Drosophila melanogaster: one gene and its partners. The protein of the gene in region 3 interacts with the protein of the main gene of each other region in a pairwise test. Each region holds a gene or a part of one and is shown on either strand. Other genes may lie near its edges.

Evidence for each region.
Region 1: the proteins of CG13337 (region 3) and CG30480 interact in a two-hybrid assay, tested with the Drosophila melanogaster proteins (one large-scale study listed by BioGRID).
Region 2: the proteins of CG13337 (region 3) and CG3294 interact in a two-hybrid assay, tested with the Drosophila melanogaster proteins (one large-scale study listed by BioGRID).

The regions. Positions count from the first base shown.
Region 1 is NT_033778.4:14,670,401-14,681,733, forward strand, and holds CG30480 (uncharacterized protein), read right to left. Parts: upstream 7,737-11,333; 5' UTR 7,689-7,736; coding exon 4,926-7,688; 3' UTR 4,900-4,925; exon of another isoform or gene 4,829-4,899; 3' UTR 4,629-4,828; coding exon of another isoform or gene 4,305-4,628; 3' UTR 4,206-4,304; downstream 1-4,205. Other genes in the region: Targ (tarag), read left to right, coding at 1-190, 252-744, 809-1,065; mspo (M-spondin), read right to left, coding at 1,967-1,985, 2,254-2,676, 9,543-9,772; CG30479 (uncharacterized protein), read right to left, coding at 4,305-4,628.
Region 2 is NT_033779.5:4,789,859-4,799,474, forward strand, and holds CG3294 (uncharacterized protein), read left to right. Parts: upstream 1-4,799; 5' UTR 4,800-4,813; coding exon 4,814-4,827; intron 4,828-4,894; coding exon 4,895-5,713; intron 5,714-5,984; coding exon 5,985-6,088; coding exon of another isoform or gene 6,089-6,096; exon of another isoform or gene 6,097-6,117; intron 6,118-6,204; coding exon 6,205-6,361; intron 6,362-6,428; coding exon 6,429-6,705; 3' UTR 6,706-6,723; downstream 6,724-9,616. Other genes in the region: fipi (factor of interpulse interval), read right to left, coding at 3,780-3,822; slf (schlaff), read right to left, coding at 7,218-7,780.
Region 3 is NT_033778.4:13,661,296-13,671,738, reverse strand, and holds CG13337 (uncharacterized protein), read right to left. Parts: upstream 6,626-10,443; 5' UTR 6,533-6,625; coding exon 4,490-6,532; 3' UTR 3,983-4,489; downstream 1-3,982. Other genes in the region: CG18368 (uncharacterized protein), read right to left, coding at 420-3,884; CG6209 (uncharacterized protein), read left to right, coding at 8,241-10,064.

The DNA of each region.
Region 1 (11,333 bases), 1.0 Mb from region 3:
CTCCTGTTCGAACTGTTGTTGGAGGCGGCGGAAGAAGTCGCAAAATGCTGATGAGCAGAATCTGCTCATCCGCCCGGCGCCCCTGGAGCGGGAGGATCTCTTCTATACGGGTCCTGCCGAATACGAAAAGCCGCACAGCAAGGAGAACGTCGACGGCAAGGAGTTCCTACTAATGGGATCGGATAAGAACGTAAGTGTTGTATTAAGAATAAATTCGCTTCAACTTAAGAACACCACCAACTTTCACTTAGACCCAGCAAGTGAACTATGGCATCAAGAACATTCGTGTGGATGATGAACCCGATAGGATTTCTAGAGTTCATAGGGAACGAAGATGGTCAAACGAGAATCAGAAAAAGCAAAATTCCTGTAGGAATAGCCGGTTTATGCTCACTGTGCTCAAACTATTCGACTACCGCCTGCTGAAACAGTTTGAGTTCAAGATTCTGGTGGCGTCCGCCTTTCTGTTCCCGATGGGCTTTAATATACCCTTTGTTTACTCGTCTGCACGAACCACGATCCCCGTCGAATATGCCCGTATGATCGGCCCCATTATCGGAATTAGTAATCTTGTGATGAGAAACATCCTTGGCATCCTCGCTTACAAAAGGCGTAGTTGGACCCTCGGACTTTGTGGTTGTGGTCTAATTTTCGGTGGTGTTTCCGTTTTGATTAGCGCCTTCTATGGAGAGAACTTGATTTGGTTCCAGTTTCTGTATGGCTTCTCCTATGCTGTAGCGCCTGGTGCGTACATTTACTTACCTTACTTAAGTTTACAATATTACCCTCTCTCATTTCCATGGAATAGCTGTTTATTCCACACTGAGAGGTTTGATATACGTGAAATACCTGGGACTTTCAAAACTGACCAACGCTTTTGGGATTACCTCATTGGCCATGGGAATGGGCGCCTTTATTGGGACTACAATTGCTGGTAAATTGATAGGCATCACGGGAAACTATTCTGCTGCCTTTTGCTTTGCGGGATTATGTCTCATAGTGTCCGGATTTCTGAAGCTTCTGCTGCCCTTGCTTATTAAATGTCGCAACAGGATGGCCCAATGAGGAATTGGACTATTGGAATTGCAATATTTATTGGTTCTCCTGCTTGGAACTTGGGATTGTCTTACAACTAATAGCTTAGGCATTTTTATGACTTTTTTTTACTGGTCCTCGTTCCAAATTCTGAGTAAATGTTTGTATATCCATGTAATTGTTAATTGACCGATGTCATTAACTATTACTTCCTCCTTATTACAGATTTATTTTCAATATAATTTCAATTCAAGTGAGTTCTTTTTGGGGTTGACTTTTATTGCAATCCATTTTAAGTTATTAGTTAGCTTAGTTTACATCTAATATTAGCTTAGTTGCTGAACAACACACTTTGGCTCCACGCTTATAGGTTCAAGTGTGCTGTGTTTGGTTTTTCATTTGGTTTTGTTTCCATTTTTCCTTGTTTGGGTATGCAAATTTTCACGCTTCTTGTTTACTTTGATTTGCTTTCTAAACTTTGTACGTCTACTGTTCAATGTTTTGTTTTTTTTTTCTTCATTTTTTATATTTTATGATGATTTTTTTACATATTATTTAGAGCTAAAGCAACGAAAAAAAAAATATAAATCAATGTGAACACATAAACATAAGAATGTTTGAATCGACATCCGCAGGACGAATGACTCCAATCCTCTGTGTCCTGTGTCTAAATCTTTCTTGTGTTTTTTAATATTGTCAGTAGTCTTCCCCATCGTCGCCTCTAATTTAATCCATTTTTAATTGAAGTCTCTGCCGTCTGCGTTAAAAACAATGTCATTTGATAATGTAAAGTTAAATTAAAATCTCCTTGCGGGATGAACCACACTCCTAACGGCCTGGCTGGTCTTTCTTGTTCACACAGAAAAAGCAATTCTTACGCCTTAAATTAAAATTATATTTATATCGCCTGTGCCTCCGCCAAGTGGATCGTTCATGTGTCGGAATCGGACCTGAAATCGAATCGGACATATATATATTTTAATTGTATATACTTGTGGGGTGAGTCAAAGAACAAAAAAATATAAAAATATCAATCTATTATGGATTTTTTGTGTTATCTATATAAAAACAAAGGACTTCCCCTTTTCGATTGTGTATATAAATTTGATGTGAAATGCGAAATTGAATTAAATTCCAATTTAATTAATATTAATGAATTGAAATTGTTTGCAGTGTAACACTAATTTGATTGAGTTTTCCGCGGCGCGGCACACTTACCAATTAAAATAGGTCTGCGACCCGTGACAGTTGCGCTCGGTGCCGCACCACTTGGACTGCTGGAGCGCCGGGCACTGTCGTCCGCCCCTCTTGCCGTGCTTTATGACCTTGCGGTAGCGATGCATCTCGCCGACGCCGCAACTTTTGCTGCAGGCCGTCCACTCGGACCAGTGGCTCACGCGGCAATCACGACGACGCTGCGCGGAGCTCCGCCTGCGGGTGGCAGCACCACCGCCCACCGCACCACCGGCCTTGCCACCACCAATCGCGGATGGTGTCGGTTTGGAGGCGTTTGCATCGCTGGCATCTGCGGCACGCCGATAGCTGCTGGCGATGCTCTGCAGGATCGCATGCTTGTCGTTCTTCGGCACCACACTGACCACCTGACCAGGTGCCGGCTGCAGGCTGTTGTTGCTGCCATAGCTGCAAGTGAATAATGTGAAAAGGTCTTGTTAGGTCTTGCACGAAACAATTTGAAATAATAAGACAGCCTGTTTTTAAATTCTGCAAATTATACTTATTATACTATAGTTGGCTCGAGCAAATGAATTGATACCATTAGGCACTTAATCCTAAATTTTGTTTATAATTAACATTATATTTTTGTAATCTCCAAATTGCTTAGCCTCACACAGCAATTTCTTTGAAGGGTTTAGATCTGCTATATATATATTCCACCTTCATGATTTGCTCTACCAGAGTAGCTTAACTTGCTGACGCTAAAAGACTGCCACATTACACATACGACCCGTGTGCCTCCGCCTCTTCCATTTTCAAAGGTGTGCTCGCTGGCTGCTCACGTTTGTTATTTCAGAACATCAACTGTGGAAAATTTCAATTTAAATTTGCCTTTTGCCAGCCAGCCTTCGTGCCGTGTTGCTGGCTGACAGACAGTGAGCCCAAAGAGCCCAAAAAGGCCGGAATGCGAAATCGGAGACCCCTATGCCATGGAACCCAGGAGGGTATTTTTTATGTTTCTTTTTTTTTTTCTTCTGGAGGAGGACCCACGCGCGAACCACAATCCCCCGAAGTTCCCATTTTGCAGACTACGTTTGGCTGTGGCGCTGCCTGGCTTCCTTCCTTCCTGCCTTCCTTCCTGGGCAACTTCCGTGTTTTGTTTCCTGCAGTTTTTCGTTTATTTGCATACACACGCCGCGTGCAAAATCGCGCAAATAATAATAAAAAATCAAAAGGCAGACGAACAGGCACAGAAACTCAACTCTGATGAGCAACGGGACGATTGGAGGGAGGAGCGCAAATAAATTGGCAAAAATATTGAAATACCCAGAGAAGGACGCCAAGCGCCATGGGCCCAACGAAAATAATGAGGAAAATTCTCAAATTGAAATTACATACAGCATTTTCCATACTCAAATTCCCTTTTCCTTTTGCAAACGCCCTGCCTGCCTGGAACATGGAACATGGAAGTTATTAGCGACAATTTGCTTCGATCATGTTCACGGCAATTACCGTTAGATGAGCACATCAAAATGTATTAAGTAAATGTTGTTTGAGGCGCAATTTGCATTTCCTGTGCTCGATAAACTGACTGTGACTCAGCCTTTGGACACATGTGACGAGGAAATTGCTCTCTGGCCCGAAGTGAATTAGTTTTCCCAATCGGAAAGCGACGGTAAATTGATATTAATATTATAATTGGTTTGCTCAAATTGTATACTTAAACTGACAATTGTTTGAAATTTGTCATGCTTTCAATGTGATTATTGAATATTTGCATCGGTCAAATGCAATGGGAAAATCGTGAGGGTAGCAGTTTATTATATGTGTATTTAATTATATAACATACAATTATGGTTTGCATTCATTTTATTAATACTTTCATTGGTTCACACTTCAAAAATTAAAACAACACACTGGACAATGATTTTTGATTGCATTAAAATGTCTTTTAAGCCATTTTGAACTTGAATTGAACATGGACTGTGGACTTTACTATGAGTTAACTATTTTATTTTACTTATTTAAGGCATATATGTACACGTAGTGAATAATTCTATACAGAAGCACAGTTTTTCATTTCCTATTTTTCGTCAGAGAATAGTGCAGCAGAAAACCTCTCCTTGCGGCTGGGCATACACACTGGCCACCGGAGCCTGGCCACCCACCACAACGGTGGGCCGTGGCGGCGGCATCACGACCATGGGCGGTGGTGGTGGTGCTCCGACGATCACAGTTGGTGGCGGTGGTGCAACCACCACGGGTGGCGGAGCAAAGCCGATGCCCACGCCTATGGGCGGCGGACGCGGTGGTCCGCCGATATTGATGCCGACATTCACTCGAGGTGGCGGTGGTCCGTAGGCGATTCCGGGACCCCGTGGAGGTGGTCCTCCGTATCCGCGTCCTGGGGGTGGCATCTCGACCGATGGCTAACTACTGACTGACTGACTGACCAGCACTTTCGGGTCGATTGGGGTTCTTGAGTTTGCCACTTATCTACGCTATTTCCTCGAGTGTCCGCCGGTAATTAACTATCAATTACTGTGATTTTTTTTTTTTGGAGGGTCTTCTGTTTTACCTGATTAGATATGCGATAGGTGGAGCTTACATTCCCAGGCTGATAATAAAAAGACCCAGTTATTGATAAGATTTCTATGATATGATATGGTTTTGTACTGATTCACTTGCCTTGGGGAAAGCCCCTGACCTCTGCTTTAGGAAATGATGCATTTACACTGGCAACATCTACGCTTCGGTGGTTCGGTGGGTTTATCTCGTTTTTGGATCGGTGGTGACTGATTCGTTTCCGGTTTTCCCTGCACCTGCTGCTGTCCATCAGCCAGTGTCGCACTTAGGGAATATCGCTTGCCAAATTTGTCGCTGTTTTGCTCGGATACCTCCCCCACCAAAACAGTTCCGATGGGTGTGACGGGTTGTATGATCTCTTCCGTGACTTCGATAACCTCAGTGACTTGGCCATTGTTTGCGGACTCAACAACCACTTCCCTTTCCACCACTTCTACGAATGGAGGATCGTCGATGACCAGATCAGTTAGAATGAAATTGTTAAGTGGCTTCGCTGGTGGCTTGAAAGTTGAAGATGGAACTGGTTGGTCCACAATCACCTCCGATGGTATCTGATTCGACGGTGGTATTTTGAGTTTCAGTGCTGGGCTTGGTGGCGGTGTTGGAGTTGGAGTTACCTCCACTGATTCCACAACCACCGCCGTTTCGGCTAAGCTGGGTCTGGGAAGGAAACCCACTTCAACGGACCTCTGGGGTGGAGTATTAACTGGTGCAACTTCATTAATCTCCACATAAGACTCGGCTTCACTCAATCTTTCCACTTCCACTATTGGACTATGTGGTGCCGTATTGTAAGGGGTGACTTCTTCCACCTCCACGTAATCATCAGCTACGATTAGGCTCTCTCTGGAAATGAAGGGAAACTGTTCGGGTGGAGGCGATGATGTTGGTGTGACCTCAAGTGATTCCACAACCAGTTCTTGAACCAAACTTGCACGGGGCATATAATCGGTTGTCACTATGGATTGACGTGGAGGATCGGGTACGATTTCTACTTCTTCGACAATTGTTTCAACTACTCCTGCTTGGGGTGCATATCCATTTTGAATTGGCGGTAGCGCAGATTCTTTGATTTCAATATCCTCTACAAATGTTTCTACAAAACCTGATTGAGGAACAATTTGCTGGGGAGGTTGATAAGAAGGAGTAACTTGTTCTACTTCTATATTCTCCACGATAGATTCTACGAACCCTGAACGAGGAGGATAGCTAAGTGGAAGTGGTGGTCGCACTGAAGGTTCAACTTCTTCCGTGACATCTAAACGTTCCACTACCGATTCCACAAATCCAGTTTGTGGTGGAGCCGGAGCTTGTATATCCACTATTTCTGTGACTTCGATGTTTTCCACTATCGATTCTACTAGACCACTCTGAGTGACCACATCACTTGGAACTGCAGGCTGTGGGGGATCTACTTCTTGAGTGACTTCAATGTTTTCTACAATGGATTCCACGAAACCAGATCGAGGTAGATTTTCTATTTGTTCTGATTGTCTTAATGTGAGATCCACCTCCGTAGTTACTTCTATATTTTCTATCAGGGATTCCACATTGCCTGCCTGAGCAGTAAAGTCATTTTCAGTCGGCAGTAGGAATGGGGGATCTTCCGTTTCTATGACTTGTATGTCTTCCACCGCAGACTCGACAAAGCCTGCAGGAACAACACTTTGATCTGATATTTGCAGGACAGGTTGAGAAGGTGTAACTTCTATATTTTCAACAATCGATTCCACACAGACTGGTTCAGAGTCAAAGCCATTAACTGGAAGCAGAAATGGAGAATCATCTACATCTGTCGAGACTTCAATGTTTTCCACAATGGACTCATCAGTAGCGAATCCATTGGGTGGAAGAAGAAAGGGAGAATCGGCATCTATATTTTCCACAATCGATTCCACTTCAACATTTCCGGGAATATAACCACTCTGAACAGGAGCATCATCTTTTACCACTTCAATATCTTCCACAATCGTCTCCACCATGCCTGTCCGAGGATAATAACTCTTTTGAGGTGAAACCAGTGATGACTTAGATGCTGCGGCAACTTCTATGTTCTCCACAATTCTGGCCACAAATCCCGGCTGCGGAATAAACTCCGGCTCTTGTTGAATTTGTGCGGGCACGATGACCTCGACATTCTCGACAATAGTTTCCGTTGGCTTTAGATTTATTCTGGGAATATAACCTGTAGGCGGTAGTGGAGGTTCCACCGATTCCGCCACCACATCTGTTTGCACCACTTCTGCGATGGGTGAAAGTGGGGGCTGCTGAGCCACTGGAAAGAATCCTGTCTGCACTTGAAGTGGCGGTGGTGCATAGGGTGGTGGGTCCAATTGATCAATTATTATTTCCTCCTCCACCACTCTAGTGTGCTTCTGTGTTTCCCTAATAGACTCCTTTGTCTCTGATTGAAAAACAACAGTGGTGAATTCATCGGAAGCTGAAGTAGTGTCCATAGTCTCCACTGCATCGACAACCTCGTTATCCTGTGAGAGATCTAGATCAGTGGAGGGATTGGGTGAGGGCTGGTTCCAAAAGGCCTGGGGTTCCCACACCACATTGAAACCCACTTCTTCAGTGGGGGTGAGGAATGGTGGTGAGGTTTGCGGCAGGGGCGGTGGTGGAGAAGTCCTCTGCTTGTGGTGGTGATGCTTCCTCGATTTCGGTGCGTTCTCCACAAGAATCACTTCCTCTGTTGCCACAACTTCAACATTTTCCTGCCTTTCATGGTGATGATGATGTCTGTGATGGTGATGATGGTGACGATGCTTTGGTGCTACAGATCCATCGATATTCACGATCTCGATTGTCTCCTGGACGGAGCCACTGCTCGTGGCTATTGTTTCTATCGTTTCATTCACACTCCTCTCCTCCACGATTGTCGTTTTCATTTTGTCGATAATTATGCCGTCTCGTCTTCGTTTGGGCCATTAACTGAAACCCCAAATGCTTTGTTCGGCCCATTTATACTCGGTGTTTATGTCATGGGAAATGTATTTTCATGCGTTAAATCCTTGTACAGATAAGATAGTTACTATATCTAAACAATGCGGCAACTATTTGTCTTCGACCCCGCCGTATTCGGTTCAGTCTCTGGAAATTGTTAAGGTTTATGTTTGATCGCAATTTAGACTGCGAATTCCATATGCTCACTGGTCGAATTCTTCTGTTGGCTATGTTCCCGATTTCGATTCTTGCGACGCTGATTGTGGGCTGCACTACCTGCGATTACGGTGAAGGTTGCTGGTGGGATTCCGGACATGTTGCTGGCACTTAACTCTTTGCCCGATTGCCGGCAATTTCTCTACTTTTATAGGCCACCCGCGACATGGCATTCGATAAGATAGTAATTACTTTCAAACTGGTCCGAGTATTCCGCACATTTGGCAGACCCAACTGATATCCGTCGGGGTCTCCGGCCTTTGTTTCCAACCCTGTCAGAGTGCCAGGAAAAGTGGGGCCAGTCGACAACGCCCACTCGCCGGCTCTTGGCACTCGAACACGTCCCGTTGGCTGGTGGGGATTGTCATTAAATATGCAGGTTACCAGTGCCAATGGTGCCAAAATCCACTCCAGCAGCTTTGGCCAAAAGTGGCACGAAAATAGACAGCAAGCGCTGAAGGGGATGCGGATGAGGATGTAGATGTGGATGTGGATGTGGATGAGACTGGAACTGTTAGCAGGGATTAGTTGTAGTTTCTCCCCGACCGGAGTTTTGTGAGATCCAAGGAATTGGGCGGCTTTTTAAAGATGCAGCATTACCCAGGTACGTGCCACTCGGGCGACTCTCCCTCGGCTCTTTCGGTCTTTAGTTCTGGGCCACACCCGACGCCTCCAAAGCGGTGTAATGTGCTTTGAAGTGTGCCAGAAAGCTGTTTTCCTTTGCCTTCCAACCAAAACACCCACCCACCCATTCGCTTGTTTTTCCAACAGCTCGGGGCTTGGCACGTTGCTTTAAATATGTGAATGCATATGTAGACGGAGGAGTGTTGAAAGTAGTTGGTCTTGAGTTAGGGGAAAGCACTCTACGCATATGTTAAATAGGGCCAATTGAAGCGCTCTCTGCACTCCAAAACAGATTACGTATACGAAACGTGCCATTTAAGGCTTACTCTTGGCCTGAAGAAACAGTTAAAGCTGTCGAATGGCAACTGTTTCTACTTTTTAGGTATTATTCTCAGCAGTCTGGCAAAGGCCAAGTGGCGAGGAAACTCGGTGATATCTATTAATTAATCATTTGTTTTTGTCAATCGATACTTATAAGATAACCAATTTTTAATGGGCTCTAAAAAATGACTCGTTTTTCGTTATTTTGAAGGCTTATCATTCGACCTAGAGACTGGAGAGCCTTGAACTGTTAAGCTAAAAATGCTTATATATAAACCATATTAATATCTATAAAACTATATTCAATTTATTTTAATAAAAATATTTTAATTTTAATAAAAAAGTTTAAAAATTTTAAATTGTCAATTAAAAATTGTAAAGCTAACTTAAAAATCCCTTTGATTCAGAATTGTTTGCTAACCCAAAATGTTGCATAATGCGAATCGCAATTTCAAAAAGTTTTCAACTCTAACATGAGCTTATTTGGTCGACTTTTATTAGTATTAGTTTGTGGAGTATTTGCGCTATTAAAAGTTTATCTTTGCTAAATTACATTTCTACAATATGCTCTTCATTTCCCTTTGATTTTTTTTTCTCAGGGTTTTTAGCATAGCTTATGGCACATTTGTAGCACTTACATGGGATTCATTTTGGCCAACAGCTGGGACCGAATGCGCTGCCTCTCGTCGTCGTTCTGCTGCAACTGCTGCTGCTCCGTTTGTCGTTCCCGTTCGATGCTGGCGGACAACTCGTTGTTCATCTCCACGTGATTGTGCTCCGCGTCCAGGTGGGTCTGGGTCTGGACCGTCTCGTACTTGCGATCGTCCTCGGCAATGTTAAACACCTCGCTCAGCTCGTACTCCTTCAGCTGCAAATAGGATGCCCAAAGGGACGGAATGTTAGTCCCCCGGCTTCAGACACATGTGCAGCATATTAATTTACGGGGATTATGTGCCCGGCATCAGCAACTCCGTGTACAGGATGCGGAATGCCGAGCAACCAAGGACCGGGAGTACAGGTGCTCTTAACGCGCTGCTAATTTCAATTTGTGGCAAATATTGACACAGCCAAAGGGAGGGGGGGGGGTTTGATGTTGCAGCAGAGGTATGAAATGGCCACGAACCTCTATGGAATCTAAGGGTATTAAACGCCAGTCTAGATTTGCCTGAGATTTGCTCTTTCTTTAACAACGAGTCTTATTGAGCATTGAACAAAGAACAAGCACAAAAGAGCCAACCAAAACCAAGGCGACTTTAAGTGATTCTTCTCATATAATCATATAATCAACCCAGCGACCAAAGTGTACCTCGCACCAATATTCCCCACAACCCACTGACACTTCCAGGGTATGAAAAACTTTGTTTGGTGCGCTGTCGCGCATTTTAATTTATTTGTTTGGGCCGCTGTCATTTTCTATATACAATACGCATTGTTATTGTAGACCCCTCCGCTTTTTGCTGGCTTATCTTGGTCTACCTTTTGGTACCTACATTCTACATTCTGCAAATGCGTCGACAGCGGCGCCAGAAGCCACAATGAAAAAATACAAAAAAAGAAATCTAAGGCACTACAAAAAAAAAAAAAAACAAACGAAAAAATCCAGGAAAAATTCAGGAAAAAAATCAAAACAATGGCGGAGAGACGCGTGTTGCTTTAGTGGCATTAAAATACACAATAATCCAGCACACACAAAAAAAGATAGAACGCTGGTAGGGGAAGGGGGTGGTGGGGCTGGAAAAACTGTGAAATTCCTTGTGGATTACCCAGACGGCGAGTGAAAACCCTCAGCATTCCCGGCTGCCGAGATTACGTGCCTTTTGCCATTCACTAAATGACACACAAATATTCCAGCAATTCGGTCTCGGGCCTCAGAATTTAAGAATTTAATGCCCAACTACCCCTTAGCTGTTGGGCAATGCAAAGGAAGCAAATCAACACATAATTACACTAGGACCTTGGACATGTGCTGGCCATAAAATAACGCATATAAGTAAATAACTTTCCATTCTGTTGGCCATAAACAAAAGTCGGCAGCCTTGGGCGTTTTGGATACTAATAAAATGACAGACCTTTCGTTTAACCAATGCGAACTTTCTTTGCCCTGGGTATGCAGTTTAATGGAAAACATAAAGATCTGTTTAGCACTCAAGGCGGAATTCTTAGATGATAAATACAATAAACTAAGGCCCAATTCCGTTTTATAATAAATTCGAATATTTCCTTAGATTTTCCAAACAATAAAATCAATTGTAAGCAAAATTGGACATAATTAATGTGACTAGCAGCTAAATCGGTTAATAATGTTTTGCTGTTTGAATTCCTGTAACAACATATAATGCCAAACGCCACCATACAGCTAATGTACCCTACTAAAAACGCCCCCCAAAAGAGTAGAGGCTTCAACACGCCCACTCCGAGAAAAGCCTAGA
Region 2 (9,616 bases), on a different chromosome or scaffold from region 3:
AACTGTATTTTTAACATGAAATGCACTTTAGTTAAAGCAGAAAAATCGCACACGTTCCCAATTAACTTCAATTCACCGCCCAGCGAAACCATGTTGAAAAAACATCGATTTTGAATCAGATCCAACACATTTCGGGTGTTAACAAATTGAGTTCGGTTTGTGACCCCCGGGCAAACTGGCTATTGTAATTATTCACGCCGCGATTCGCGGTAAAAGAGATATATTCATGTATATACATGAATGTATGTGGAAAATTGGGGGAAAACGCGATGTCAGTGGCACAGTGAAATGCAGGACTCGACGCCACCTGACAGCCACTCTACGTGGAGTGCTTGTCGGATTTTAAAAATAATAACAAAACGAAAACTTATGGCTTACAGAAAGAGAGAGAGAGAGAGAGAGAGAGTGACACAAAAAAAAGACGGCCAAAATCATGCATGCAAAGTGAAGGCGAAACCAGGAAAATGGGCACGTCACGTGGCAGTGGGTGGGAAAGATGGCCAGGATGACAGGACACTTTTGCCAGTGTCAGTTAAATGGAACACCCGATCCACGAGCCACACACACAACAATGGCCAGCTCCAATGGCTTCTCGTCCGACTTCCCGCTGAGCTCTAGGCTCTGGACTCCCCAAAACTTAAATGGTGTCAAGGCTGATGAGTTTGTATCGCCACACCACCCATCTACACACACACACACACACACACACACGGAAAACGAAATTCGGAAAACTTCAGCAAAAGTCAAAGTTCGGATGCCCGGCAAAAGTTGAACAAATTCAATAGATAACAATGAAGTGAAAGCAAGTGAGTTGAGACCGTTTTGTGGCTGCGGATGATGGAGAGGGCCACTGGAAGAAATCAGGGGCACTTAAGCCTAAAAATCTGTTAATAATCGAGTGTCTACATAGTGCTGGTATATTTATAACTGAATAAATATGGGTCACACATATAAGATTTTTAAAAGGAAAAAAGGTTGATAAGAGACAGAGAAATATCAACTTACAGTGAAGTATGTTATGAATAATTATTCTGCTTACCGATCGAAATAAAGGTAATCCTTATAGATTTCAAACAGGAGATACATTTTTTTTCCTGTGCATCGCATCTGCCTCCCCGAACTCCAACACAGTCATCACCCTTTTTCACGACCCGTTGACAGCGCAAATATGCAAAGTCAAGTGGCAATTTATCATGCTATGCAGTGAAACCGCCCTCCAGGCAGCGCGAGAGTTAAAGGTGGCGGCCCAAACCGCCGCGTGGGGCACTCTGGGGTTAAGTGGCAAACTAAATTGAATCGCCAGCGACGAACCATGCGTGGGCATGTATCTACGCCTACAACTAACAACCCGCGGCCCCAACAAACCCCTCGTCACACTGAAACTGCACATTGGATTTGGAGTGATTTACATGCTGATTTATACACTAGCTAGGTTTTTTTGGTAAAAAGAAATAACTGCGAATTTAAAATAAGTTGCTTCAATTCTGCATTCCAATTTTTGCACTTTCCTGAAAGAACCATATAATTCAATATGAGCTCAGTTAATATTAAATAATTATCTAATTGTTATAAATTCACCGGCATTATCTAGAGCAGGTCCAGTGTCCATAGCTCTGTTTACGGTTCGCTTTGCATTTAAATCGATGCGACGCTGACCTTTCCCTCAATTAAAAGTGCACACCCACCCGGCGATGAGGGCGCACAGTGGCGGTCGAAAGTAATGGGACACTCTTTCACTGGGGGCGTTGCTGTCGACACTTTACCTCATTAGCAGCATCAGCAGCATCGGCCGCTTGTATAATTAATGATTGCGCCCCCTGCCGCAGGCTTCGTATTGATTTTAATTTGTGGAATTTACTGGGTAAATATGATAAATTCGAGATGTACAGAGGGCTTTACTGCGCGAGATGGGACAGCAGCACTTAGCAAAGTAATTAACCAGCCCGATTTGGCAACGACTGCCGCCTGCCAGCTGCCAGCTTGGTCATCCTCAAAGCCAGTTGGTCAGATCGAGCCAGTTGGTCACTTGACAATACGTAACCCAAACCCATGCAACCCCCAAACGGCAGGCGGAAGTGCCCGAGGCAACCGCAAAACAACTCGACTCCATCTACCGACCTCAGGCGTCTCCGGAAATTCACCCTGCCGTTGACAAGCCTCAAGAGAGATCCAACCAAAGACACTCGTCCCAGTCAGTAAGTGACCGCAGCAACAGAAACAGCAACTAAAGGGGGGGGGGGGGGGTTCGCACTGGGAATATGGCGATGTGTCGGTTTCTGGGACGGCGAATGCAACGGAAGGATGCGATGGGCTGCGATGACACTGGCGGCGAAAGGCGGAGTAATATGCGTAATTAAACAAAACCGCAAGTGGGCCAGAGCAACAGCAATAAACGGAATGGGGCGCAAAAAGGATTCAGTTACCAGGGATAAAAGCAAGTGCAGCTGCAGTGTATCCACTCGAAGAATGGTCAAAGTGAAGGGTATATAAACAAGGCGAAGTTGGGAGTCCCTAACTAAGGACATGCACTTGCCCATTATAAAAAAACGTTGCTTACAAAAATGCGAAGTTTATTCATATAAATAGATTTGTTGAGCAAATGAAAATTACATTAATCATTTATGCTTTGCTGAAATAAATAAAACCATTGTTGCCACTTTACTGCGCGACAAGAGGCGACAGCAAATGTTGATACCCTTCGGCGAGAGATGACAGCAGGCTTAAATTAAATATTTGCAAGGACGCAGGACGAAGTGAGCAGAGTGCGGGCCAAAAGGACGAAAGAAATCAAAGAGCAGCGAGCAACGAGAAGCCCAAAAACGCAGCGCCACATAAATGTGGGGCATGCAGATTGAAGTGTCGTCCGGAGACGAGGACCATGGCAAACGGGAAAACGGGAAAATGGTTCCATGGAAAATCAGAGGCATGTGGCAGGCCATGGAAAATGCCATTCAAGTGCGACTTAACACCCCTCAGACAGCTTTTAGGCAGTGAAAATTGATCGAAAGACTAAGAGCAAACATCGTTGACTGACAGCGACTTCAAAAAATCCAACAGAAAGCAGTGAGAACAGCGCAAAAGGGCTGCAAAGCGGCAAGATACTTTCCCAGTATCTTCGAGATACTTCAGCGAAATGTGCAACAATGTGCCAGCATCGATTTTCTATTAGCCACGAGACACTTGAGCCACAAAACTAAATACAGAGGGCAAATATTGATAAATACGTAACGACACGACGACGACGAGGAAGACGGAAAACCACAACAACCACATTATGAATACTACTAAAGCTCGTAACTGTCCATCGACCAGACAAGAACATAATAAACACCGTTCATGGGTCCGAAAATAAAACGCAGAACGTAACTCGGAAGAGGTCGCCACATCCTCATCCCCATCCACATCCCCTCCAGAACTCGATGACCACCTCAGCCAATGTAACACTAGAGCAACAAATGCGGTCAAATCGTTTATTATTGAAAATTAAATGCCCCTTTTAGGCGTACAGAAAAAAATTGTAAGTAAAGAACATATTGTTTTAATTTGCGATATATGTTCTTCTTTCTTTAAGTTTATATTTAAGTTATTTAATTGCATTTCAATAAGTGATGGTTACAAAAATCTACTATTACAACTAATATAGCATCTATGGATTGATAGCATCAAATCCAAAAATATTGTTTTCTAAATATCCCTTAATTGCTAGCTTTAGAATCAGGCTATTTTATGTATTTAGATAACATTTGTTTTCTTTTTCTCCCAGTGTAAGAACCACTTACCTGTTAGGGCTGCCAAATTCAGAATAAATCCAATTAGCCGCATTGCGAGAATCTCAACGAATATGAATTTGAATTCCTGTGGTTACTACACAAAAAACCGTGAATATGCTTGCGACCTGATTACGAGTTCAAAGTGCCAGCGGCGCGAATTATTTCATTTATCTAATATCAAGTTGTGCCGCGAGAATTCACATCAATTGTTTTGACTTAGTTTCGCACAACTCAGTTGGTTTTCCGTGAGCCAAGCTCGGCGATTCGGCGCTTGAGCCGGAGTCCAAATTCCGGACTTCGGATTTCGGAGCCGAGCGCAAAAGGAGAGCTCAGAGAGAAAGCCAGGAGAAAGGCTTTCTCTGGCGACACGAAGTGTAGGTGAACCGACGCGCACGAATTTTACTTTATCACTGAATTTGATTTTTTTTCGCATCTTCGGCAATCGCCGGACACAATGTTGCTGGCAACATTGTTGCAGAGGGGAATTTTCGAGTTCGAAAGTTTCTGGTTCGATGGAAGGGGGAATTGAGAAAAAGCTTGAATAAACGGTTCAATTCAAAATATACAAATCTGATAAACAAGAAAATATTCAAACTAAGCGCTTCTATTAAATTTTAAAAGCTCTTCGACACAGTGCTATAAAAATCACATAACATAATTTATAGCAGTGTAAGTTGAACTGAGGCTTTTGGCATTGTGCTATACAGCAATGTTATTTTACATTTTATAGCAAGAACGAAACTTGGTGTTATATTAGACTGTTATAATTTATAATAAATTTTGAATTACAAAAATCGTAAGAATTCGTAAATTTTAAACATTTATGATATGAAATCTTAATTTTGAGGGAAAACTTACAAAACATTTTTGATTTGCCAGATTTATGAAAACTTTGAAAAATATGTAAATGTAAAAATGTAATTTTTTTCGTGCTGCAGTATTTTGTGGTATTTTTCATAGACCCTGTACACGGTATTAATCAGCTGTGTTCTCACAAATGCGTTTCAGCTGCTCACCGAAATTCAATGTTTTGATTTTGCGAAATGCCGGGAAGGAAGTAAATAACTATAAATTTGTTTAAATATAATGTATAATTTAATTTAATGTATATAATTTATACAAAGGGCACGGCGAAAGTTAATCAAGAAGCAGCAGAGGAAGCGGCGTCGTCAAAAACATGCCAAAGAACGTGATAAACTGGAGGAAGAGGCGGAAAACCAAAGACTTATGCAGCCGGAGTACCAGAAATGGTCGCAGGAACAGGAGGAAATGCAGGAATTCCAACGACTAGCCGACGAACGGGAGCGCCAGTTGGCGGAGGAGTCCTGGCTGCGACGCGAAGCCACAGCGCAGCGACAATTCCAAATGGACGAGGCGAAGAAGCGTCAGGAGCAGGAGGAAGTGGAGCGTTTGCAGCGGGAACAGGCGAAAGAGCGGGCGGAACGGGAGGAGAGACAGCGGAAGCAGCGCGAGGAAGAGACACGAAAAGCCGCCAAGGCTGCCGCCGAATTCGATGCCATGATGGAGAGCATGGATGAGTATCTGAACAACCCGCGTATCGAGAAGCCACCCAGCCACCTTCTGCGTGTAATGGAGACGCATCCGGAGGAACGAGCCTGCGAGTTCTTTAGCCGCACCAACTGTTGCCGCTACGGTCACGCCTGCACCTTCAACCATCGCCGCCCGATGCTGGGAAGGATCCTTCTCATCCGGCACTTCTTCAACCATTCCATGCTGCAGAAGCGATGCACGCACAAGGAGTACGCCTCGGCGGAGGAACACCTGGAATTGACCGAACAGGATCTGCGCCACGACTACGATGAGTTCTTCAACGATGTCGTCGAAGAACTGAGAAAGTTCGGCACCATTGTCAACTTCCGCACGGTGCGCAATACGCTGGAACACCTCAGGGGTCACGTCTTTGTGGAGTACACAAACGAACGGTTTGTCTGAGAGTATTAATTATCATTATTATTATTTAATTAATATGACATTGTTTATATGCAAGCAATTCGGATATTCAAATGCAGCCTATTTCCCAGCATTTTCATGTAAAAGTTAATTCATATAATTCACAATTTTAATTTATACCTGTTCTCTCGCCAAAAAATATATATATTGTATTGTCTCTGCGCTTGCATACTTTTATGTTATGTTAATAATGTCTAAAGAGGTCATAAACTAATTATTATAAAGCGTACGTCATGATTTCAGATCTGCACTTCGCGCATTTACCAATCTCCAAGGTCGCTACTACGCCTCCAAGCGACTAAACGTGGAGTTCTCCAATCTGAGGACCTGGCGCGGCGCAGTCTGCGGTACGTGAACTGCATGCCAAGAGGAAGCCGTATCCTTTAAAAAACCAAAACTCAAAGCAAGCCCATTCATATGTTTTAATACCATTTTCTTTAACACAATCTGTGACTTCTTAAAGGTTTGTCCTTAACACGTAAATGTCCCAAAGGTAACGACTGCGGCTATCTGCACCTGTTTGGCAATCCGAACAACCTGTTCAACACGGAACTGGAGTACACCAGCGGTCCACGCAGTGAACGACGCTCCAGCCAAACTCCAACGGCCAAGACACCCAGGTGGATTTAAATATAATATTAGTTTATATTCCGGCAAACTATTTAAATACTTTCCCTATCTCTTCAGTTGGGATGAGCACAGCGAGCACGGCAGGAACTGGCGCTGGTCGGCAAGCCCCGAGGTTGAACTGGAAAACTCCAAGGACTTGGGCAACCGAGGTCGGGATCTCAAAAACAACCAACAGCGGAATCATCATTCCAGGTCAAGAAGTGACCGGAGTTCCGTGCGCTCTAAAAGAGAGCACAGCTCCTCGGGATCTTCACATGACGATCGCAGATCAAAGAGGCATCATCATCATCACAACTCCACAACACCCGATCATCAGCACAACCATTGCCAATAAAAACCAAAGTATTAATTCAAGTGTTTTCTTTTTTATGGGATCTTTACAAAATTTTATTCAATCTCTTTGTGGACAAAACATGAGTGTCTCAAACAAAATACTAAAGAGATTCCGAATTTCTTGCTTGAATGACAGACAGTGGGTCAGAGCGAAACACTTGCAATTTAGGATTGCCTATAAATATTTAAGGTGCGATCTGAAAACGACTCAACTGTTTACAACGGAATAGAATTCTACGCGTAAAATTGGCAGTTTCGAAGGTAGGGAGGAAGGAGAAGTGAGACTAAGTGCTGGGTGCTAAGGTGTGATGAAAGCAGTATTGTGGATTTGGTGGGTGGGTGGTTTTGTGGTGTTTGTAGGATCGGAAATTGTAAATTCTAAAGTCTATTTGTCTTGCTTTCTTCCGTTTTCGTCGTACACATACAAACAAAAATTATACAAAAACTCGTTTAAGGAATATTATAATAAGTAGCTTTAAAATTAGGCAAACAGCGAACGCCCAGCGAGCCGCTCTATAGACGGATGCCGGGATTCGTGGCCGCCACATAGCGCAGCAGCTCCTCGTTGTCCTCACAGATGACGGGCTTCTCGTGGTAGCAGGCCACGTCGTGCCAGGCGATGCCATCGTTGTACACGTTGTTCAACACGGACAGGCACTGCTCCTTGGTCTGGTTGATGTCGTATTCGGCGTTGTCCGGCTGCGGGCGCTTCTTGTGGCCAGTCTGCGACCATGGGTTGTAGCCCCAGCCCTGTGGGATGCGGTTGGTGGCCTGGATCTTCTCGCGGGTTGCGGACCAGAACCATCCATAGACGGTCTTGGGCTCCAAATCTGGACGATTCTCGCAGCCAGCAAAGTCACAGATACGTCCGGCCGTCCAGATGTACGGCACATCGTTCTGCTGGATCACGCGGAAGATCAGATTGTTCTTCTCCTGAGTCTCCAGGGCGACCAGATCCATGCAGTACTCGCGGCACAGATTGCGACCATCCAACCAATCGACCTTCTTGTTGGCCAGCGCGGGCACGTGGGTGGTTAGGAACATGTTTTTGCCGCGGTAGGAGAACTCCTTGGGACCTGCGGGTCAGCGAGGAGAAAGTCGGTTAGCGGAAACTGTTTTCATGCTTGCACTGAGAAAATAGTAGGGGTATGTTATGGCTTTCCAAAATATATAAAAAATAATTTAACTATTGAATAATAGTAGACCTTTGAACTTTAAGATTCAAACTTAGATGCATTTTTCCTTTGCTTCCGAATTAACTAATTTTTTTCCCGTGTGGGTGTGGCATGTGGCAACCGGTTTTCCGCGCCGCTGCAGCCTCATCTTCATCTCCATCTCCATCTGAAGTCGGAGGCCCAGTGCAATATCTCACAGCCTGCCCCATCATGGGCAAACGAAACCGAAAGCGAGTAGCGCCGAAAATCAAGAGATACTATATATACCAATGTGGATGCCAGTGGATGAAGCTGCCCCGGGCCTTACACAACTTCCCCGGTGGCGGCGTGTTACGCAATCCGCGCAATTTATGCAGCATGCTTCTTTTTGCGCCTGCCGCCGACGCCGCCGCTTTCCTTTTGTCTTGGGTGTCAAAAGGTTTTCAGCTTCCCCGCGTATATATTTGCTTTTTAGCTTATTTTTTTTTTCGAGGAAACAATGGGATCCCCCGCCTGACAACTCCATCCTCGAACTTGTTTCGCCTGAGCAAGCTGCCAACTGCCAGCTACCAACTACCAACTGCCAGCTACCATTTGATTAGCTGCCTCTTTGGAAGTCTTCGCAATGTGCGATATGTCCGCCCCTCGGACGCGCCCAAAAAAAAAAAAAAAAAAAACTGAGTAAAGATATACCCGCCTGTTGCCACAGTTGGCACGCGTCATTAGCCCCGCTTTAGGCCACTTTTGCAACTGCCCCCCTGCCACGCCTCTTCGCAGGCGGGCAACGCTAAGCGTCAAATCAGCTTAAGTCCAACACATAATAGCCTTATTGGCCATTGTTTGCACATTATTATTTATTTTGCTGCCGCTTCGGCTGCCACTTGCCATTTCCTCACATTTCTGGCCCTTTTTGTGCGCGGGTCAAGGCGATAATGTGGCTAAAACTCATCTTGACTGTATGTATATATACATATATGTATATATATTTTCCTAACCCGAAACTTGCGTAATAATCCGGGTGTCGATGCCGTTTTTTTTTTTTTTTTCGATTGGCATCTTTCAACAGTGAGTTAGAAAAACCGAAACGTTTTCGAATCTTAATTATCGGGCGAATGCACGCCTGAGAGAGTTGTCTACAAAAAGGTAATTAAGTGGAATTATTAATCAGGTGATTTAACTATTGGAAGGCAGACCTAAAAAACCTGCGCTTGTATAACTGGAATTTTCTAAGAGATGAAAGATCTAAGTCGCTGCCAACGGCACTGGCTTCAAAAAACTGGATATGCAACTCCGGTGACGCCCCAAAAATTAAGTTGCATGTTTAACGGCTTTGGCTAAGTCTCAATGTGTGCATGTATGTATGTGTTAGCAATACGTTAGTGTGTGCGCCGGTGTGAGTTAGGGCTTGTCTAATTAGCAATAACTGCAAAGTGTTCATTAGTGTACCGGATATGCAGCGATGATGCTATTGTTCAGGCGTCTCGCCCGTTTTAGCCCGATCTCTAAGCCCTGATGCAATGGTTAGTAATCTCAGGCGATGACTGGCAGCGACAATCATACGTAGAATAAATGAGGAAAATCCACTTCAACTGAACTATTTGCTTGTTAAGCCCCTTCGGATTTCAACAATTATCAGCTTAAAAGTGCAGAGGAAATCAATTAATTTGATGGCGAACAACTCCATTTACACATTAACATTAGATATAATAAATTTAAAAAATATATATAATATATACTATATCAAATGGAATTTGTTTA
Region 3 (10,443 bases):
AGACATTGAGCATATTATCTGATGTTGTCTGGGTGGCTGGTGGCGGTGGCAAATTCATTATTTCATCAATAAAACAACACAGCAATCAATATTGTGAGCTGTCCATTTTGTTTGCTTTGGCCATTCGGCCCAAGCGATACTCCTAAATAAATAGACGGCATATTTGTATGCAATCCATATATATTTATTCATGATGGAATATTAGAAAACGGCTGTAAAATTTGCATTCCTCAGTCTTGTGAAACTCTCTTATCAGTGAATTTATTTTACTGCGTTTCAAAGTAGTTTTGCTGGTCTTTTCTTTTCTATTAAGTTGTATATTGCTTTTTATTTAAATTTGGGTTAAAATATGTATTTTTAAGTTGGCATCATCACATAGTAGCAGCTCATCAGGATCTCTCCGCAATTTCGATTATTTTTTACTGGCGCTCATCTTTGAAATTTCTCGTAACCATTTCAGTAAAGGGATACAAAAAGGACGAACCCCTGCAGAAATCGTCCCTTTTGTAGCACCGTTTGCCGAAAGGGTTACAAGAATTCAAGGGATGGAGCCAGAACACACTGAGGTAATCGTTGATGGCCAGTGGCTTCAGGTTGGGAAGCAATTGGCGAACGAGAAAGTTGGTCTCCAGCAGAGGACTCCGTCGCAAATTTTGGTAGTACAGAGGGGCAAGCCCGGGAAATAAAGACCACTGACGTGGATTGAAAAACCTGTTTCTGTCACGCGTACAGTGGTCGTCTTCCAATCCTCGTTGTGGTCTTCTCCTGGGTCTTGATAGGGCAGATCTTAAGAAGATACCTAATCCCTCGAGTTCAGAGTTTTTTTCATGTTGAAGTCCCTTGTTTCGCATCGCCTTGTCTTCCTTGTCCAAAATCTTCTTTATAAGTCCCCAGTTATGAATGTCCTCTTTTGCCGATATTTTTCGTCTGCCAAACGACTGATGCCATTTATTAGCTTTCGTTGATATAAACTTGTCCACATTTCCGTTACCCTTTCCCGTAAGTCCTACCTTCTCTTTAAGTTTTCCTAAGGTACTGCGATGCTGATCCTTTTCGGTAGAGTTCTTCTTGGGCTTCTCATCGGTACATAACTTTTTTGAATTCTTATACTCATCCGAATATTTCTTTGGCTCTCCTAGTGAATTCAAGAAATTGCCTCTATTATTATTTTCACACTTCATCTTTAGGGCGAACTCAGCACATCTCTTTCTCCAGGAGAATTCTTCGCATTGTCTTTGCTGCTCATTTAATGAGCTTCTCTCTTTGAGATTTTCATCCGAACATTTGTCCTTGAAATCTTTTTCTGCGCATTTTTGCTTCAGTTCTTCGTTCGCACAAAGTTCCCTAAACTCTTTTAATGCACATTTTTCCTTTAATTCTTGCTCTGCACACTTTTCCTTAAGTTCGTTTTCTGCACATTTCCTTCTGAACTCTTCTTCTGCGCATGCTTTCTTTAATTCTTTTCTGGCACATTTTTCTTTTAAGTTTTCCTTGGCACATTTTTTTTTCAATTCTTCTTCTGCGCACTTTTCTTTCAGATCCTCTATTGCACACATCTTCCGTAACTCCTCTTCAGCACATTTCTCCTTTAATTCTTCTATTGCACACTTTTCCTTCAGTTCTTCTTTAGCACATTTACTCTTCAATTCTTCTTCTGCACATTTTTCAGAAAATAAATCCTTTTGCTTTGTGCTTATAATGTTTTCCTTTTCTTCTGCTAACTTTTTTTGCAATTCTTTTATAACGAGCTTCATTTTTGACAAAAGGTCTTGCTCGTACTTGTCAGATGTTTTGCACTCTAAAGACATATTTTTTAGCACATCTTCAACGAAATCCTTTTTTTCTTGACACTTATCCTTTAAAGACTCAATGGCGCAGTTTCGATTCAGACCAAATTCATTAGATTCAGTCTTAAGTTTTTCATTTGCACTCATCTTTTCTAGCTTAGCCATAGCTTTGTAGAATTCTTCTGCAATGCTTTGGCTTAGACCGTGTTTAATACATTGGTTCTTCAGAGACCGTCCTTCGATCACCTCTTTTATGTGTGTGCACTGCTTAATAATAACATCTACTTTATTTAATATGCCCGTATATTCCGTATTTCCCAACATTGATGGATTCGAAAGAGCGCAAGCATCCTTTTTCTGGCACTCACAACACTGTATGTAATGCCTCCAGAAATTTTCAACTAATTGATTTACATTATTGTCCTTTTCCTCAACATTGCAGACTTTATTTCCTTTCAAATCCTGTTGCATTCTTTTCTCCATCAGGAACATACACCTAACCATTAGCTCTGCTACTCGAAATTTCAGCTTGTCTTTATCATCTAACATTGAAAAAAACTTTGAGAAATCAATATCTTTCTTAGACTTTATGCCTCCTTTGTCGATATCATTTTCAGGTGAACACCATAGATTTTTGTGAACACGGCTTTTAAATACTTTATGCAAGCTGTTGCCGGATTGACAAGATGGTGGCTGGTTATCCACGTTTGCAGCATTTGAACAAGGAATTTTCGAGATACAATCAGCAGTATTGGGTGGCTTTAGTGCAGCTTTACAATCTTTTTTTTCCGAACTATTATCACACAGAATTCGGTTCTTTAAAGTGTCATAGAAGCCCGTTAGTTTTTGATCATATGGTGGAATCATTTTGGGTCCTGACTCGTTTTTCTGACCACCCAAATTGTGGGAACATGAGTCCATGATATTTCCGTTGACCCTCTTAGAATCCACTTTCTGTTCTGCAGAAGATGAAGGCACCTGTGGATCAATGCATTTTACGCATATATTTTTGTTATCAATTCGACTCACATTTTTTTGGTTAATAGACTTGAAAGAAGATTCTCTAAGACATGGAAGACGACCCTCAGTTTCCTTCTTGGCTTTACTTATGAGTTTCTCCTCACGTTCCTTTATTACTTCCATTGAGTGAGGAAGTATTGGTTTGTTATGTGAAGATATTTCTTTGTCGTTTGCTCTTCCAACACTTTTGGATTTAGTTTTTAACGGGAAAAATGCATCCTGACCCAACTTATTTTGCCTCTGTGGATTTAAAGATTCTTCGAAAAAGGTCCAATCTATCGAATCGTCATTATATTTTGCCTTTGGAACTTGTGGCTTTGCCTTTGGCTTTCTTTGCGTTATTTGCCGTTTGTATTTCCTTTTATTTTGATAATGCTGCATTAGAGCCTTGTTATCTGAGTGGTATCTCAGAAGATCGGCATCCTTTCCCTCCTGCAATTGTTGCCTTACTTTTCTACCCTTTGACATGAGCATGGTAACAAAATTTCTGAATGTACGTTTGGGTTCCTTAAACTCGAGGTACGCCTCCTTATCATCTGGATATGATCTGTGAGAGGAACTCGGCGAGTATTTCTTTTTGGTAGACCGCTTCATGCGGTTAGTCCTTTCGTTCTTCTCAATTCCCTTGTCTAATCCGTCAACACCCTCGTTCATTAGATCCCTTAGACGTTTGTTCATTTTTCCATTCGATCTTTCCCTAAAACGCCGAGCTCGTTGATAGACGTCTGGACGGGATTCCCTTTTGCCCCTGCCCGATTCTTTATGGTAGAGGCGTCCCATCTGACTGATAAAATAACAGCTGCCAGGGTGTCTGTATCCACAGACTTTGAGTCTGTGAACTTCGCCCACAATGCAGACCTTTTGTGGAACCTGTCTTATCGATGGCGAAGAGCCCGTTTGGCTGAGATCGTTGGTGAGAATGTCGTATGACATCGGAGGATCATCCTGGAAGAAGGTAGTCTGCTGACTAAATGCAGATCCATTGCTCTTTACCAGGGTCCAGGGTTGGATGTATGGACTGGGTTGATGACAGACCCACAGTCGTTTTAGCGGCAAGTTAATAAACCTGCGAAACATTCCAAAGAGCACGATTGCTGCGGAAGGGTCCTTCTAAGTGCTGCGGTTACCAATGAAATTTGGATGGTTAATAAAAAAAAGAAACTAAGGCCAAGTTTACGTGGGGGCAGTCACTGGAGATTTTATTAAAAAACTAAGCAAAGTGAAATAAAATTCATGACAACTTCGAGTGCGAAACACAAGGAAATATGGACAACAATGCTGATGACCTGGGCGTCTACTAGAAAGGCAACGGGGTCAAAGGTGATCAATGTACCACTCGCTTTTCACAGTACCCATAACTTTCCATTGCTGTCGTGCGAGGTGGCCAAGACCACGGTGACGGTGGCAAGGACGATAGCCCAGTTGCTACAGTCGATTACCTGGTCTGAAAATCTAGAAATCATATATCTAGGGAAATATATCCTAGGGTAGGAAATCCGCTGCATCAACTGAAGGACAAGCGGCCTTGACGACCGCCGTGGTCCTTTAAGCCTTTCTCCTTGGGCAAGCAATGATATTTTGGGCTCCTTAAAAGCGCAGTTGTCCACCTGTCTGCGTTACAAATTATAGGTTATCCAAGCCATACGTTCTCTTCCTTTAAGAGATTAAATTTCAGGATAGGTTTATTTTTTCTTCTTTTTTTCCTCTGCTTCGGCGGCTTTCTCTTTCTGATCGAATTCATCACATTCTTTCAAAATCCTATCTTCCTCGCATTTTTTCCGTTTCTCTTCTTCATCCGCTTTCTTCAATCGTTCTTCCTTGTCCTTTAGGTCTTTTAACTTGGAGTTCAGTTCTTTTTCTTCGTTCTTAAGCGATTCCAGTTTCTTTTTCAGTTTCTCGCATTTTCTCTTTTTCGCTTCTTCGGCGCATTTAAGCTTTTGGAGTTCCTGTTCGCATTTCTCTTTTATCTCTTCCTCTTCGCATTTTTTCTTTTTCTCCTCCTCTTCGCATTTCTTTCTCCGTTCTTGCTCTCTGCATTTCTTCTGCTGCTCATTCTCGCATTTTCCTTTTTCGACCTTTTTCATTAACTTCTCCTCCCTTTGCAACAGTTCCGTACGTTTTTTCCTCACCTCGCATAATTTTTTGAAAGCGTTTTCTATGCACTTTCTTTTAATTTCCTCATCGCATTCTCTTTTACAGCCTTCGCTCTTGCATTGTTTTTTGAACTCACCATCGACTTTCATAATATCTTCTTGTGTTTTCACTAGGACTTGACATATTTTATTTTTTGCTTCCTCTTCACATTTCTTCATTTTCTCCTCCTCCTCTCGCTTTTTCTTTCTCTCTACTTCATTGCACTTGATTTTTTGTCTTGCGTCTGCGCATCTTTTCTTCATTGCACACTTTTCGATATTAGCTTGTAATTCCTTAATCTCGCACTCTTTATTTTTTTCTTCCTCTTCGCAGGACTTTTTCATCATTTTCTTCACTTCTTTAGAGGCTTCGCTAAAGTCTACGTCGTTCTTTTCCGTGAGATCTTGAATAGTGGGGCATGCCTCTTTCCACTTCTTTTGAACGCAACTATCTCCACATTCCTTTTCTGCCTCGCACTTATTCTTTTTTTTCGGTTCTCCAAAGGAATAGGCACACATCTTCTTGATCACCATCTTACGGCATCTCTTCTTGATTTGCGCACTAAGGCAGTCTTCTATGGCAGCCACATCAGTCTTATTCTTCTCCTGTGCTTTGCATATATCCTTCCATTCTTCGTATTCGCACTCTTCCATCCTCTGCTCGAATGGTGATTTTTTTGCATCTCCCTTGGAGCATTTCGGTTTTTCCTTGGTCTTCTTTGGGCACTCCTCCTTCTTGGATTCCTTATTTTCGTCCTTTGCACGTTTATCTTTCGGAATCTTTTTAGGCTTATCACAAGTCTTAGCTTTTTTCGCCGGTTCTTTGCTTTTATCCTTGGGTGCTCCCTTACAGCTATCAATTATGGCATTCTTTCCTTTCTTAGCTTTTAGTGATTCTTCTGCTTTCTTTGCAGTCTTCGCATCGTCCGCTTTCTTTGGCCTATCGTTGCATTTATCCACTTCCGGTTTATCTTTACATTTTTCCTTCTCTTTCTTACTCTCTCTTTCCAACTCGGCTTCTAAGAGCTTTGTGGTATCTGCTATGCATTTCCTAAGAGTTTCTGATTCCTTGCATCTCTCTTTCTCTCTTGGCTCCTTGCACCCTTCCGCAGAGTCGCCCTTCTTCTTGACCGGACATTCCTTCATTAATTTCTCGATCTTCTTATCCTTGATCAGCCGCTCGTAGCGTAGCTTAAGTTCCTGCTCCCTACAGTACTTCTGCATCACCGACTTCAGACAGACTCGCTTGACGCCGGCCATCACGCAGTCCATCATATCCCCCATGGCCTTCTTCTCCTCCGGCTTCATGCAATCCATTTTTGACTTCAGCGCCTTCGACTTGACCCCGATGCACTTCTTCAACTGGCATATTAGGCGGTCGGCATCCCTCCTGGCCGCCTCCTTCTTGTCGGCCGCCTCCTTTTTCTTCATTGCGAGTGCCTTTTGCTCCTTCACGCACTTGTACCTTTCGCTGTCCATGAGAGGTGGGTCACAGTATCTGCGCAGCTGCCATTTATAAGCTATGCCAATGGATCCGCGGACTTGGGGAGCAGACATCCGCGTAAGCAGGCAGCCGCCAAATCTGGAGCCCATTGATAAGAACCGTGCTTAGTCCCCCACGAACATAAAACTAAAAACTAAAAATTTAGATGGTCGTGAATTAAAAAAAAAAAACGAATTTAGAACTAAATTTTTGGCCCTGTTTGTTTAAAATGAAACTACATGAATTTTTGTTGAAAATGGAATACTGGGTTCATAAAACATTTTAAGTACTAGCAATATTTTATATAGATCTACATTGGTATATCCACGAATTGCGGGCCTTGGGAAGAGCACCATTGAAACGCTCTCCTTGCTGGCGTCAACCATTTTCAAATCTTTGCTCAAACCTCAGAAATGACAACAACGCAGAGGAGCCACAACCACGACATAGTTACACACACATCCCATCGAGGGGCCAACGGCAGACAAACACTTTTGTCGAACATAAAATCGAGCACAACTTAATTAAATGTTAAAAGCGCGACCGCAGCGCGTCTGTGGCAACCAAAGGTGTGAATACGAAGGGGTTGTTGCCGGTGGGCTGGGCATTTCCGGTTTGTGGGTGGGTTGTTGGTGTGGGGTTGGGGTTGGAAACGCCGTTATCACAGCGAAGAAGACGTTGACAGACGCTAACTTCATTTTCGGGGTACTGCTTCAAATTAGCAAACCTGTCAACTGTCAGTGTTTGTGAGTTGAAGTGCGGCCAGAAGTATGCGGGGTAGGCGGTTGGGTTGGAGGTGTGGGGCACGGCTCCAGGCGAAAAGCAAGACAATGTGCCTCACCTGTGCTTCAACACCTTGCAGGAGTTCCTCAGTCCCCCCCCCCCCACGCTACTCCATCGCTCGATAAGGAAGTTGCTCTGCGAACTTTGCAGTCTATACAGAAGAGGCCTCCATGGCCATGTGTGTGTGTGTGTGTCTCTCTCTGTGTGGGTATGCGCGGTGAATTATGGCATGTCTACTTCCGCCACCTGCCAACCCACAGTCCCCCATTGCGTTGTTTGTAATTTGTTAATTTCCCGCATTTAGAAATTAATTTTCACTTCATGCGCCGCCAAGCAGACAACAGCAGACAGGTGAGTTCGAGTTGGCCTACCTTGGCAGCACTGTCGCACATAAGTGTGCTTTAACTTTCTGCCACACGCACTCACACACGCACACTCACGGCGGCATTACGAACTTGCACCGCAATTACGAGTGCCACCCACTCAGCCCAATTCAGGACCAACCCACCCAGTGAGCTCATTGCGTATTTAAATTCCTTTATGTTGTCATTAATTTCTGCAACTTGTTCGGCAGTGTCGCTGTTAATTTTTAAACGAAAGCTCTGCCCGAGCAGTCTGCCATGTGTTTGACACGTTTACATTTTAATTGCGCACATGTGCACGGTGGGAAGTGCGCATTTCATTGTTGATGTGAGCGGGCGCCGAATGTGAAATGGGTCTGCGGAGTGTAAAACTTTAATTGCTTTATTATGTCGGCCAGCAGGCAGGTGGGAAACATCCTCGGAGAATCACAGAATCGCTCAGCCCACATTCGCGAAGAATTGGGCCAAGGCACTTGAATCGCCCCAAGGGCTAGAACACCCCGAAATAAAGATGGCACAGGGTTCTCTTCTATGTTCCGAAGAAATCTCTTTTTAAATTGACTCAAGTAGTCTCAGGCTAATATGTAAGCTCTTGCACTTTTCAGTTTTAGCCTTACTAAGCCTTACTGTTCAAAATTGGATGTTATAAGTTTCCGCAATTCCGTTTTAAGTCATGGTGTTTTTGGGACGCCATCTCTCACGATCTCTCGCGTACCATCTAAAGCAGCCCAGTTGGAACCGATTGTTCCTAAAGCCCCGCACTAATTTGCACCATGTATCCGTTTACTTGGGACAACCAAGGATACTTAGCCACAAATCCGATGCATATGATGATTTAAGCTCGAAATATCGAATGAAAACTAATTGCATGATCAATCAAGCAATTGATCAATCAGAACCGCAAAAATTCTACTACCACCATCGGATCTACAAAGCATCCCAACTGAAGGACCGTGTTTTTAAAAGAAACATCGATCAAATATGCCTGAACCAACAACGATCGTTTTGCAAAGAGGCCGATAAAGATAGTTGCTATTGCAAAAAATTGGAGGATGAAAACTGCGCACTGCAGCCGTTACCAAAACCGGAACCCAAAAAGAAATGCTCACGGATATCCAGAAAGAGAAAGCATTTACTTGAGCAAAAGAAGAAAGCGGCAAAATCTGAAGCCCCTCCAGAATCGCAAAGTGAACCAAATCTAGACGAAGCCGTCGATGAGCTGAAGTTCAGTTGCATGCTAGCTTCCGAGAAGAAAGACTGCGAGCGCAAGCAGTACAAGGCCCTCTGCGAAGAATTGAGAAAGTCAAAGCCTCAGGGTGATCCCAAGTCTGTAGATTCTCTTGTAAAGTGCATGCTTTCTGGCATACAGAAGGCGTGTATTGTTCACGCCGAGAAGATTGTCTACCAGAAGAAGTTCGCTGAACAAATCGCGATTGAGGAGGCTAAAAGAAAGGAAAGAGAAAAGAAAGAGGGAAAGCCTCTAGACTGCACTAAGCCGAGTGAGGACGACGAAACTGGCGCAAAGAACAAAGCTGAGAAGAAAAAGGCCAAAGAGAAAGCTGAGATAAAACGATTGCTCAAGGAAATAAAGGGCAAGTGCAAGAAGCAGCGTGAGGAAGCTGAACGCAAGAAGAAAGAGGAGGCAGAGCTCAATAAAAAATGTAAAGAAGCAGCTGCTAAAAAGAAATGTGAGGAATTGGAGGCTAAAAAGAAATGTGAAGAAGCGGCTGCTAAAAAGAAATGCGAAGAAGCAGCAGCCAAGAAGAAATGCGAAGAAGCAGCAGCCAAGAAGAAATGTGAAGAGGCAGCGGCCAAGAAGAAATGCGAGGAAGCAGCAGCCAAGAAGAAATGTGAGGAAGCAGCAGCCAAGAAGAAATGTGAAGAAGCAGCAGCCAAGAAGAAATGCGAAGAGGCAGCGGCCAAAAAGAAATGCGAAAAATCAGCACCAAAAAATAAATGCCAAGAATCAGCGGCCAAAAACAAATGTAAAGAAGCAGCAGCTAAAAAGAATTGCGCGGAAGCCGAAGCGAAAAAGAAATGTGAAGAGGCAGCGGCCAAAAAGAAATGCGAAGAGGCAGCGGCGAAAAAGAAATGCGAAGAGGCAGCGGCCAAAAAGAAATGCGAAGAAGCAGCAGCAAAAAAGAAATGCGAGGAAGGTGCTGCTAAAAAGAAATGCGAAGAAAAGGCGGAGATAAAAAAATGCGTAGAATCAGACCGTAAGAAAAATAGTGCAAACGATGCAGCTATGAAAAAGTGTGAGGAAGACAAAAAGAAGAAATCTCAAGAGGCCGAGAAAAAGACGAAAAGCGAACAGGCCGCGCTTCAAAAGAAATGTGCCGAGGCCAAGAAGAACAAGGCACGTGAAGCCGAGAAAAAGAAAAAGACAGCAGAATCCGAACGGAAGAAAGACTGTGATCTAGCCGAATTCAAAAAACGATGCAATGAGCTGAAGAAAAAGATTGCAGAGGCAAATTGCGAAGAAAAGAAAGGCAAGTAGTGGGCCATTAATAAAAAAAAGAAAAGCTTATCGGAGGCGTGGGAGATGAAGTCCCCTACCTATTATACATTTCAGCTGTAATTTCAATACTTAAGTTAAGTAATGATCTATCTTTTCCTAATAAATTTGGAGTTGTATCTTAATTTAAATTTGTGAGCGATTAAAGTCAAAATTCCAGATGTAGTACGTATCTTTGCATTGACAGATTAAAGTTACTTTCAGCACTAAAGCATTAAAGCTATTTAAGACTGGCTTTATCATCGGACGGCTAAACCACTATTGTTCGGTTGGGGAAATGCCAACAGACCCGCTAAGTACAGGCTTGCTGAAGGACAATGATGATGAAGAGTGGGCCGAGAAGGCCGAGGAGGCCGACAAA